3 linked regions of the Callithrix jacchus genome follow. The protein of the gene in region 1 interacts with the protein of each later gene in a biochemical or structural test. Links are inferred from orthologs where the notes say so. Each region holds a gene or a part of one and is shown on either strand. Other genes may lie near its edges. The genes, in order: ATF7IP, SP1 and MBD1.

What was found.
Region 2: the proteins of ATF7IP (region 1) and SP1 form a complex in vitro, tested with the Homo sapiens proteins (3 studies listed by BioGRID). The link is inferred for Callithrix jacchus from reciprocal best matches to the Homo sapiens genes ATF7IP and SP1.
Region 3: the proteins of ATF7IP (region 1) and MBD1 form a complex in vitro, tested with the Homo sapiens proteins (2 studies listed by BioGRID). The link is inferred for Callithrix jacchus from reciprocal best matches to the Homo sapiens genes ATF7IP and MBD1.

What each region holds. Positions count from the first base shown.
Region 1 is NC_133510.1:8,832,057-8,835,704, reverse strand, and holds part of ATF7IP (activating transcription factor 7-interacting protein 1), read left to right. Parts: intron 1-2,880; coding exon 2,881-3,519; intron 3,520-3,648. UniProt on the Homo sapiens protein: Recruiter that couples transcriptional factors to general transcription apparatus and thereby modulates transcription regulation and chromatin formation. Can both act as an activator or a repressor depending on the context.
Region 2 is NC_133510.1:66,144,046-66,147,693, reverse strand, and holds part of SP1 (transcription factor Sp1), read left to right. Parts: intron 1-1,593; coding exon 1,594-1,793; intron 1,794-2,538; coding exon 2,539-2,852; 3' UTR 2,853-3,648. UniProt on the Homo sapiens protein: Transcription factor that can activate or repress transcription in response to physiological and pathological stimuli.
Region 3 is NC_133514.1:93,464,040-93,468,319, reverse strand, and holds the start of MBD1 (methyl-CpG-binding domain protein 1), read left to right. Parts: upstream 1-1,426; 5' UTR 1,427-1,733; coding exon 1,734-1,786; intron 1,787-2,893; coding exon 2,894-3,028; intron 3,029-4,280. Other genes in the region: CXXC1 (CXXC-type zinc finger protein 1), read left to right, coding at 1-118, 234-380. UniProt on the Homo sapiens protein: Transcriptional repressor that binds CpG islands in promoters where the DNA is methylated at position 5 of cytosine within CpG dinucleotides. Binding is abolished by the presence of 7-mG that is produced by DNA damage by methylmethanesulfonate (MMS).

The sequences.
Region 1 (3,648 bases):
CTCTTAAAACAAAAAAAGTTAGGACCCTAGATAAGTACACATGAAATACAGGATAGATACTCAAGCCTCTTTGGCAGTAGTATGCAAAATTTCTGGTCTCTTGACCCCTTTACAATCTGAAAAAATTAAGAACCCCAGAGCTTTTACTTATGTGGGTTACATCAATTGATGTTTGTTAGTTGAAATGAAGTAGAAATTTAACAGAAATTAAAACATATTTTTAAAATGTTTATTCATTTAAAATAATAGTAGGCCAGGTGTGGTGGCTTGTGCCTGTAATCCCAGCACTTTGGGAGATGAAGTGGGTGGATCACTTGAGGTCAGGAGTTGGAGATCATCCTGGCCAACACAGTGAAACCGCATCTCTACCAAAATACAAAAATTAGCCAGGCATGGTGGCTGGTGCCTGTAATCCCAGCTACTCAGGAGGCTGAGACAGGAGAATCACTGGAACCTGGGAGGTGGAGGTTGAAGCGAGCCGAGATCATGCCACTGCACTCCAGCTTGGGGGACAGAGCAAGACCTCCTCTAAAAAATAGCAATAACAATAATAAAAATAAATAAAGTAGTAGTAAACCCATAATGTCTAACACAAAAAGACTTTTAAAAATGAAACTAAATGTATTTTCCAAGCTTAAAAATAGCAGCACAAAGAGCATTATCCTCTTACATTTTTTATAAATCTGTTTTATACTTTAAGACATCAAGATAGCTAAAGATAGCTGTATATTCATATTTATATCTGCTTTTGGTCTGTTTTAAAATGTTGATTTGGCTGAAGCATTTGAAGGAAATCTAGTCTTATACAAATATGTAGATGGAAAAGGACTAGCCCTTACAGATAATTGTGGTTATTCTTCTTTGATATTATCAAGTAGTAGTTTCTTTAAGGTTAATTGTGAAGTGTGATCTGAAATCACACCAAATAAATTTCCTTACTCTTCCATTAAAATCCGTTTATTGAACAAGTTTGGTGGCTCATGCCTGTAATCCCAGCACTGTGGGAGGCCCGAGGCAGGTGGATTGCTTGAACTCAGATCAAGGTCAGCTGGGGCAACATGGTGAAACTCTATCTCTAAAAAAATACAAAAATAGCCAGATATGGTGGTACACACCTGTGGTCCTAGCTACTTGGGAGGCTGAGGTTGAGGGATGACCTGAGCCCTGGAGGTTGAGGCTGCTGTGAGCCGAGATTGTACCACTGTGCTCTATCCTGGGCGATAGAGGCAAATCTTGTTTTAAATCTGTTCCTCTATCTTGCACTTGGATGGAATTTTACTAATATCATTCATTGGTCATTTGAAAACTGTTCACGAAGTTAATGCAAATCTTCCAAATGTTGACACATTTTATTTAAAAATATTATTTTTAAAAATTACATTTACTGATTTTACTATCAGTTCTACTCAGAGAAGTATTTTAAGGATTTAGAGAGCTTCATGCTTTCAGTGACGGATATAAGGTTTTTCAAATCTTCTTAGTTTTATTTTAAAATTCAAATGTTATTATTGCTGATAAATACAGTTGGGTTTTTTTCCTTGAAGTGACTGCCTTACCTAGTCTATTTTTTAGAGAAGATCTTAAAAATACCCACATGTGAATCATCAGTGTGCGTATAGATCATTCTTTCAAGTAAAAATAGTCTTTGATGGAAAAGACTGCTGGTTTAGTTTATAGCTCAAATGCACAAGCATTTTTCCTTGAGTTAGCCATTTTACTTTGGCATGCAGAGTCCTATGTCTTCACATGGAATATTAAGAAAAGAACCCCTATTCAAAGGTTGAGATATAATAAAGTTAATAGTTTTTACTGTTGATCATGGGGATTCTTAAGTAAAACTGACTTTGTTTTTTACTGTAAGCGTGTGTTGATAAAGAATGCAGTGAGTTTGGTCCCATTAAACGACCTTGATTTTTGTACTAAAGCATCCAAAGTGTTACTCACCATTGCTTTTGCTCCATTGGTGCAAATGTCTGCTCATTGAAAAAGGCAAATAATATCTCATTATGAAAATAGTTTTGACATTGCAGACTCCCTGAAAGGGTCTCAGAAAACCCCAGGCATCCCCCTGGACTACACTTTGAGAACTGCTGCTCTAGTGTACCTGATTGGAAAGACTATAAATCAATGAGAAAGAAGTTTGATCATGTCTTTTAAACCTATTTCAATGAGAATAAGCACAAGTAGTTGAAAATTACTATAAAACTGTAGTGACCAGCATTTGTATTTTCTCTGTTCTTCTGTATAAGCTTTCACATTTCTTAATTCATCTGTCATCTTCACTCAGTGCTATTTTTCATACCATACAATGTCAGTAGGGTGTCAGTAGAGGGAACTGCCCCTCAGTAGGGGAAGATAATTCCTCTCCCTGGGAATTCAGTCAGACTTGATCCAAAGATACAGACATGGTTCAAATGATAAAATATGATGAATAAGTTTACCTATTATTAATTAATGGTTATGACTTCAGATTTATTATATGAGTTTATATATTACTTGTGTTATAAGGCATTTATAATGTTTTTAATGTAGTTTCAAAAATATACCGTTTTACCTACTTTTTAGTGTTTTTATTTGTTTACTAGTTAGGTACTGTGAAGTGATCATAGTTATTTTCAGGGACTGTTTTGATACTCAGCAGTCTGCGGATTAATCGTCCATCTTGTGCTGTTTTTGTGATATACTAAACCTACATGCAAAATCCTTCCAAGAATTTAATTCTAAGTTAAATTTCAGAATTTAAATCTGGAAAAAACAAACTTTCATGATGAAAGACTTTACAGTACCTAATGCAATGGATTTAATTTGTATCTGTCATATTTTCTTGGCTGGTAAATTGCCATAACCATTTAAACTGAGACTTCTGTTTTCTTTCTGTAGTATCTTCAGCCAGTCTTGTCACCCCTCCAGCAGTTGTCAGTAGTCAGCCTAAGTTGCAGACTCCAGTTACTTCGGGTTCCCTGACAGCACCATCAGTTCTTCCTGCACCCAATACGGCTACTGTAGTTGCTACTACTCAGGTGCCTAGTGGAAATCCCCAACCTACAATCTCTTTACAACCTTTGCCAGTGATTTTGCATGTACCTCTTGCAGTATCCTCCCAGCCTCAGCTTCTACAGAGCCATCCAGGGACTTTGGTGACTAATCAACCATCTGGCAACGTAGAATTCATTTCTGTGCAAAGCCCACCTACAGTGAGTGGTCTTACCAAAAATCCAGTATCCTTGCCATCCTTGCCAAATCCCACTAAACCAAACAACGTTCCTTCTGTGCCCAGTCCTAGTATTCAAAGGAACCCTACTGCCAGTGCTGCACCATTGGGAACAACACTTGCTGTGCAGGCTGTTCCAACGGCACACTCTATTGTACAAGCCACAAGGACATCTTTACCCACAGTGGGCCCATCAGGACTCTATAGTCCATCAACTAATCGAGGTCCTATACAGATGAAAATTCCAGTTTCTGCTTTCAGTACTTCATCTCCTGCAGAACAGAACAGCACTACTAACCCAAGAATTGGTAAGTCACCATGTGGGGTTAGAAATGCAAATACTAGAAATGCAAGCATGTTAATAGCCTTGTAACGATGAACTTTTTTTTTTCTAAGTGGCTGGCAATATTGAAAGAACAAAGTAAACAGAATTTTCT
Region 2 (3,648 bases), about 57 Mb from region 1:
AGACGGGGTTTTACCATATTGGCCAGGATGGTCTCCATCTCTGGACCTTGTGATCTGCCCACCTCAGTGCTGAGATTGCAGACTTGAGCCATCCTCAGCTGGCCTAACTTAAATTTTTTTATAGCGATGGGGTCTCCCTGTGTTGCCCAGGCTGGTCTCAAATTTCTGGGCTTAAGCAATCCTCCTGCCTCGGCCCCACAAAGTGTTAGGATTACAGGTGTGAGCCACCTTGTTCAGCCTAGAAGCCTTTTTAAAAAGAAACATTGGCTGGGCATGGTGTAATCCCAGCACTTTGGGAGGCCAAGGCGGGCAGATCACCTGAGGTCGGGAGTTCAAGACCAGCCTGACCAACATGGAGAAACCCTGTCTCTACTAAAAATACAAAAGTAGCTGGGTGTGGTGTCATGCGCCTGTAATCCCAGCTACTTAGGAGGCTGAGGCAGGAGAATTGCTTGAACCTGGGAGGCGGAGGTTTTGATGAGCTGAGATCGTGCCATTGCATTCCAGCCTGGGCAACAAAAGTGAAAGTTCATCTCAAAAAAAAAAAAAAAGCCTCTGGCCTGGCACAGTGGCTCACACTTGTAATCTCAGCACTTTGGGAGGCAGAGATGGACGGATTCATCACCTGAGGTCAGGGGTTTGCGATCAGCCTGGCCAACATGGCTAACTTCGTTTCTACTAGAGATACAAAAATTAGTTGGGCCTGGTGGCGTGCACTTGTAGTCCCAGCTACTTGGGATGCTGAGGCCAGATAATCTCTTGAACCTGGGTAGGAGAGGGAGAGGTTGCAGTGAGCTGTGATCATGCTACTGCACTCCAGCCTGGACGACAGAGTGAGACTTCGTCTCAAAAAAAACAAAATAGAATGAACAACAACAAAAAATGAGGCCTTAGCTAAGCGCAGTGGCTCACGCCTGTAATCCCAGCTGTTTGGGAGGCCCAGGTGGGCAGCTCACAAGATCAGGAGATCGAGACCATCCTGGCTAACATGGTGAAACCCCATCTCTACTAAAAATAAAAAAATTAGCCGGCGTGGTGGCCCACGCCTATAGTCCTAGCTACTTGGGAGGCTGAGGCAGGAGAATCACTTGAACCCAGGAGGCAATGTTGCAGTAAGCTGAGATTGTGCCACTGCACTTCAGCTTGGGTGACAGAGAGAGACTCAGTCTCAAAAGCAAAAAAAAGGAAGCCTTTTTCAAAAATAAAAGTTTGGTCACACCTGTAATCCCAGCACTTTGGGAGGCTGAGGCGGGCGGATCACAAGGTCAGGGGTTCGAGACCAGCCTGACCAACATGGTGAAACCCAGTCTCTACTTAAAAATACAAAAATTGGCTGAGTTTGGTGGCACGCCTGTAATCCCAGCTACTTGGGAGGCTGAGGCAGGAGAATTGCTTGAACCCGGGAGGGGGAGTTTGCAGTGAGCCAAGAGGGCACCATTGCACTCTAGCCTGGGTGACAAAGTGAGACTCTGTCTCAAAAAAAAAAAAGTTTGAGTAAGTTTGGTGTAGGTTGGGTAATTGCTGTTGATACTTTGTGGTTCTTTAGTTTCTGTCTTTAGAATGAATGATGAATAGTTGTATTCTTACTTTTAGGGGTTCAGGGGATCCTGGCAAAAAGAAACAGCATATTTGCCACATCCAAGGCTGTGGGAAAGTATATGGCAAGACCTCACACCTGCGGGCACACTTGCGCTGGCATACTGGCGAGAGACCATTTATGTGTACCTGGTCATACTGTGGGAAACGCTTTACCCGTTCGGATGAGCTACAGAGGCACAAACGTACACACACAGGTGAGCAAGAGCCTGTGGGAGAGAAAAATAGTAATAGATCAGAATGAAAAACACAAAATACACTTACAAAATAACTAAAATTTCTTAGCAACTTAATTTGAAACTGAATTATATGGGTCACAAATGGAATTGGAGTTAATCTGGAAAACTTTTAAGAAGGAAGGAGGGCCAGGTGCAGTGGCTCACGCCTGTAATCCCAAGACTTTGGGAGGCCCAGGCGGGTGGATCTCTTAAGGTCAGGAGTTTGATACCAGCCTGGCCAACATGGGGACACCCTATCTCTACTAAAAATACAAAATAGCCAGGCTTGGTGGCGGGCATCTGTAATCCCAGCTACTTGGGAAGCTGAGGCAGGGGAATCAGAAGGCTTAGTTGCAGTGAGCTGAGATTGCCCCACTGCACTCCCACCTGGGTGACAGAGCAAGACTCTGTCTCAAGGAAAAAAAAGGAAGGAGCTAGGTTTTGAGTGGGATTTTGAAGGCGAAGTATTGAAACCATTACTCTTAGTCTCTGCCTTGCCTTACTTTTCTGCTAAGTTCCACCGTCCTTACTGAGTACTCCCTAACCTTTATCTACTTTTCTTCCCTGTCCCCCCAACCAAAAGGAAAAGATACTTCAAGATTTTTCTTGTTTTTAATAATCTTGTCATACTGGCCTTATTCAGCCTAGTAGAGTTTGAAAGCAGTGAATTAGGTAAGGTAATCTCACTTCCTAACATGTCAGCTTCTTTTCTTCCTTTACCTAGGTGAGAAGAAATTTGCCTGCCCTGAGTGTCCTAAGCGCTTCATGAGGAGTGACCATCTGTCAAAACATATCAAGACCCACCAGAATAAGAAGGGAGGCCCAGGTGTAGCCCTGAGTGTGGGCACTTTGCCCCTGGACAGTGGGGCAGGTTCAGAAGGCAGCGGCTCTGCCACTCCTTCAGCCCTTATTACCACCAATATGGTAGCCATGGAGGCCATCTGTCCAGAGGGCATTGCCCGTCTTGCCAACAGTGGCATCAACGTCATGCAGGTGGCGGATCTGCAGTCCATTAATATCAGTGGCAATGGCTTCTGAGATCAGGCACCTGGGGCCAGAGACATATGGGCCATACCCATCAACCCTGGGATGCAAGGTAGCATGGGTCCAAGAGACATGTGGGAAGAGAGAGCCATGAAGCATTAAAATGCATGGTGGTGGGAAGAATTGGGAGAGGGATACAAGAGAAGAGATGGGGTCCTGGCACCCATCTATATCATCAGTGCCTCTTTGAAGGTGGGAAACATTAGTGAAAATTCTGTTGGTGCCACCCTTTGATGAGCATTTGTTTTACCCCAGTTTCTTCTTAAACTTCTTACTCCAGCCTACCCTTCCTGCATTTCTCTTCTCAGCTCTTCCATGATGGATCACCCCCCTGCCCCATTTCCTAAAGCCATCATGCCTTGATAAATATATATGATCATTGAAATACTTTTTAACAAAAAACAGATTCTATATTATTATATATATATAAATATATATATAAAGATATATAGAGATGCATTCACAGGGGTTGGCTGGGAGGAGGAAGAAGACCATTCTGTGACCAAAATACCTTGGTCATTTTTTTTATATTGCCTTATTTCCCTATGGCTGAGCCTTGTTGTGACACATCAGCTTTTCTGTAGATGTTGCCTTGGCTTCTCACCAAATTAAGCATTCATATGCTCTGCTTTTAGTTTATATATACATACATAATGTTTTTCCTTTCATAATTTTGTCTTTATTTGGGATCAGCTTCTTGCACTCCTTTCCTGACTCATCTGTTGCCATCTCACATTCTCATATCTGATCACTTCATGTTTTATTTTTGTTAGTGCCTGGATAAGGCACT
Region 3 (4,280 bases), on another chromosome or scaffold:
ACGTGATGTCTTTGAGCTCACAGGTGACTTCTGCCGCCTGCCCAAGCGCCAATGCAATCGCCATTACTGCTGGGAGAAGCTGCGACGTGCGGAAGTGGACTTGGAGCGTGTGCGTGTGGTAGGTTTCCATGTGGTTTCAGTGCTGCACATGGTAGGTGTCCATCCCGGACGTGGCCGAGGGCAATCGGGGCTTCAAGAGTGCCTGCTCAGGACTCCTGCTGCTCCCTTGGCAGTGGTACAAGCTGGATGAGCTATTTGAGCAGGAGCGCAATGTGCGCACAGCCATGACAAACCGCGCGGGATTGCTGGCCCTGATGTTGCACCAGACGATCCAGCACGACCCCCTCACTACCGACTTGCGCTCCAGTGCCGACCGCTGAGCCTCCTGGCCTGGACCCCTCACATCCTGCATTCCAGATGGGGGAGCCGCCCAGTGCCCGTGTGTCCGTTCCTCCATTCATCAGTTTCTCTGGTTCAACCTGTGCCCATCCACCGGTTGACCGCCCGTCTGCCTTTGTCAAAGGGTTTTTCCCTGTCTCCATGTTCAGTGCCTGGTGGGGCTGCAGAGTCCACTCATCCTTCCCCTCCCTGGGTTTTGTTAATAAAATTTTGAAGAAACTAAGGAAGCTGCCTCCACATTGCTGCGGTTGCAACTATTCCCAACTCCTAGGTAAGATGGGGGCTCCTGCACCCCGGAAGAGCCCAGGGACCCACATTCCCAGCCTCCCACGGGCATAGGTCTACGTAGCGCGCATTCAGTGTGGTGACACTGCCCGCTCGTGCTCCTCTCTCCCACGCAGAGCTGTCGTCCGCCGTGGACGCCAGGCCCCGTTTAAGCCCCACCTTGACGATCCGCAGGGGCGCGCCCTCCAGCGTGCCTCAGTTTACCTGCGGTGCAGCTGCACCGCCCCCTTCCCCGGCCCGCTTGCCCCGCGGCGGTTCAGCGGGGAGGAGGGAGCAGGACACGACAGCCCTGGGGTTGATGTTCGGAGAGACCTGGAGGCACAGGCTCGACACCAGCGAGAGGTGGGAGAGTAGAGTGCCGGCTGGGCCAAGGAGTGCGCAGGCCTGAACCATCTTTCTCGCCGCCGTCCGCATCCGCTTTGGAGACCGCGGGAGGAAACGGAGGGCGCAAGCGCAAGCCCTCCCCAACCACTTCCCCTCAGCTTAGACTGGAGAGCGCATGCGCACGCCAGAGAGGCAGCGAGGGGCTCCGCGGCTGCTGATCCCTCGATGGGGCGCGAGCGGCTATTAAACGTCATCACGTAGATGCAACTCGTTCCTGGCAGGGGCGCGCGCACAGTTGCGTGCTAGCCCGCAGGCGCAGGAGCCTCCCTATTAAGGGCACGCGCCGTCGAAGCATTAGCGCGCAGGTGCGTCTCTAGAGGAGGAGCCCGAGAGAGGCAGGCCGCGGACTTCCGGTTCCGGGAGCAACGAACAGCCGCGGAGGCAACAGCTACCGCTTCAGAGGAGGCGGCCGCCGAGGAGGAAGAAGGGGAGGAGGGCGAGGCGGAAGGTGCAGGAGGGACCCTCGCCTTGGGTCCACGGGCCTAGAGCTGCGGAAGATACCGGTCTGGTGCCAGACTGGTGAGACAGCCTTGGGGCTGGACGTGGAGAGCGCTCAGGCGGAGGATGGGAAGGAATTGAGGCTCAGAACGCTGACGGGGTGGAATGGAGGGCCCTCAGGCCGGTGAGGGAGAGGAATGGCGGCGTCGGAATACTGACGAGGAGAAATGGGGGGATTTAGGCTGAGGACGGGAAGGAATGGAGCTCAGAACTCTGACAGGTAGGAGTGTCGAGATCCTGGGGTGAGGACAGGGTGGAATGGTGGAGTTCAGAATGCTGAAGGGAGACATCAGGGCATCTGAAGTTGAGAGAGAGAGAGAGATAGGGGTTCAGAACTCTGAGGGAGAAATGAGGGGCCCTCAGGCTGATGACAGGAGAAATGGAGACGTTGGAATGCTGAAAGGGAGGGATGGGGGCCCCATATAGAGGATGAGGAGCAGTAGGAGATCAGAACACTGACAGTTAGGGATGGCATGATCCTGGGACAAGAACAGAGAATGGGGGAGGGTTCGGAATGCTGAGGGGAGAAATTAGGGTCTCTCAAGATGATGATGAGAGGAACGGAGGATGAGAACAGTGAAGGGGAAAAGAGGGGAACTTTTTGGCTGTAGAGGAGAGAAACAGGAAGGTTTGAGGGCTGACACTGGGGAGAAATTGTGGGTCAGAACATCGAAGGAAAAGAAAAATAAGTGGGGAGCTCTTGGGCTGAGGAAGGGGAGGCATAGGAGGCTTCCAGTGTGAGGAATGGAAAAGATGAGGGGCTGTTCAGGCCATGGGTTGAAGCAGTTGTGTCTCTCGCAGAGGAAGTCGAGGTTGTAACACTGAGATAGCAGGATAAGAAGACATCAGACAAGGAAGGAATGGAATGGTTAAAACACTGAAGGAGGGAAATTAGGAACTCCTGGGTCAAGGAAGGGGGAATGAAGAAGTCAAGTAGTGAGAGCAAGAGAAATGGGGCCTTTTGGGGCTTGAGGATGGGGAGTATGGGGGTCTTGGGGTGATAAAATAGAGGGATAGAGGACCTTAGGTCAATGACAGGGAGGAATGAGGGAAAAGGATGAAAAGTTTGTGGACTGGCAGTGAGGAGAAATGATGGGATGTCAGTCCAAGGATAGAGAGGAGTAGGGAATAGGACACTGAGAATAAGAAATGGGGACCCTTGGGTTGAGGAATGAGGATCTTTTAGGCCCAGAATAGGAAAGAATGGGATGGCAGATCCTAGGTCTTGGGCAAGCACTAATGGATACCAGTGATTTGTGTGGCCTGAGGCACAGTTTTGTCCCTTACTAGAGCCTCAGTTTCCCTCATCCTCTCCACCCCCTTTCAGGCTACTGCAGCTTCCTGTGGCCTCCATGGCTGAGGACTGGCTGGATTGCCCAGCCCTGGGCCCTGGCTGGAAGCGCCGTGAAGTCTTTCGCAAGTCAGGGGCTACCTGCGGACGCTCAGACACCTATTACCAGAGGTACTGGGTGGGTTGTGGACAGAGTTGGGGTAGGGTAAAACCTGATTAGGGTAAAATCAAATAGGGTGGTTTAATTTATGGATGGAGTTTAAATTATGCATATACAGTTCATTGCTATTATTAGCAAATTTTATGTTTGCAATTTTATCTACTTAAAATTTATTTGTAATTTAAAAGTCACAACTCACAGTGCATTTGTGATTATTCAAGGACATGCACAGAGCAGTGAAAAGCTGTCACTCAGTGCCTGTGTTTCTAGCTGAGGCTGAAGGAGCTCTTTTTGTTTCAGTTTTTAAAATTACTTTTGAGACAGAGTTTTGCTCTTGTTGCACAGGCTGGAGTGCAATGGCACTATCTCAGCTCACTGCAACCTCTGCCTCCTGGGTTCTACGGATGCTCCTGCCTCAGCCTCCTGAGTAGCTAGGATTACAGGCACGCGCCACCATGCCAGGCTAATTTTTTGTATTTTTAGTAGAGATGGGGTTTCTCCATGTTGGTCAGGCTGGTCTTGAACTCCTGACCTCTGGTGATCTGCCTGCCTCTGCCTCTCAAAGTGCTGGGATTACAGGCATGAGCCACCATGCCTGGACATGTTTTAGCTTTAATACTGTAAGCAAGTAACTGTTCTTTTCATGGTGTGTTTAGTGTCACATTTTTCCAATTTTTGTACTTTTTGTTGGTGATTTTGTTTTTTAAAATGGTCCCAAGCATAGTGCTGAGGTGCTGTTTAGTGTCCTGAGTGTGAGAAGGCTGTGTTGTTTCTTACGGAGAAAATAGAAGGTAGATAAACCTTTTTCATACATGAGTTACAATGCTGTCGGCTGCAAGTTCAATGTTACGCATCAAAAATATGGTACAACCAGAAAAAGAAGGAAATTTGCCAATATGCATATGAGGCTGCTTCAGAAAGTACAGAAAGCATTCATAGTCTTGAAGCTGTGGAAAAGATGAGAAAGCAGCTACATTGGTGGATTCATGAAATGATGATCAGTAATTCGTAGTGGATAGCATTGTTGAGGAAAGCCAAACTAACATTACTCTGGGTTAGGAAAATATTAAGGTTATATCAGGTAGTGCTGGCTGACTTGCACATTTCAAAAGGTGACATGGCATGAAAAATGTTAAACTTGGATCCAGTACAGGTTCTCCCAATTAGGAGTCTTCTGCGGAATTTTAAAAATACTGTTAAGTGTTATACAGGAAAAGGGTTATGTAGAATAGTGGTTTTCAATGCCAAAACTGGCTTAGTAAG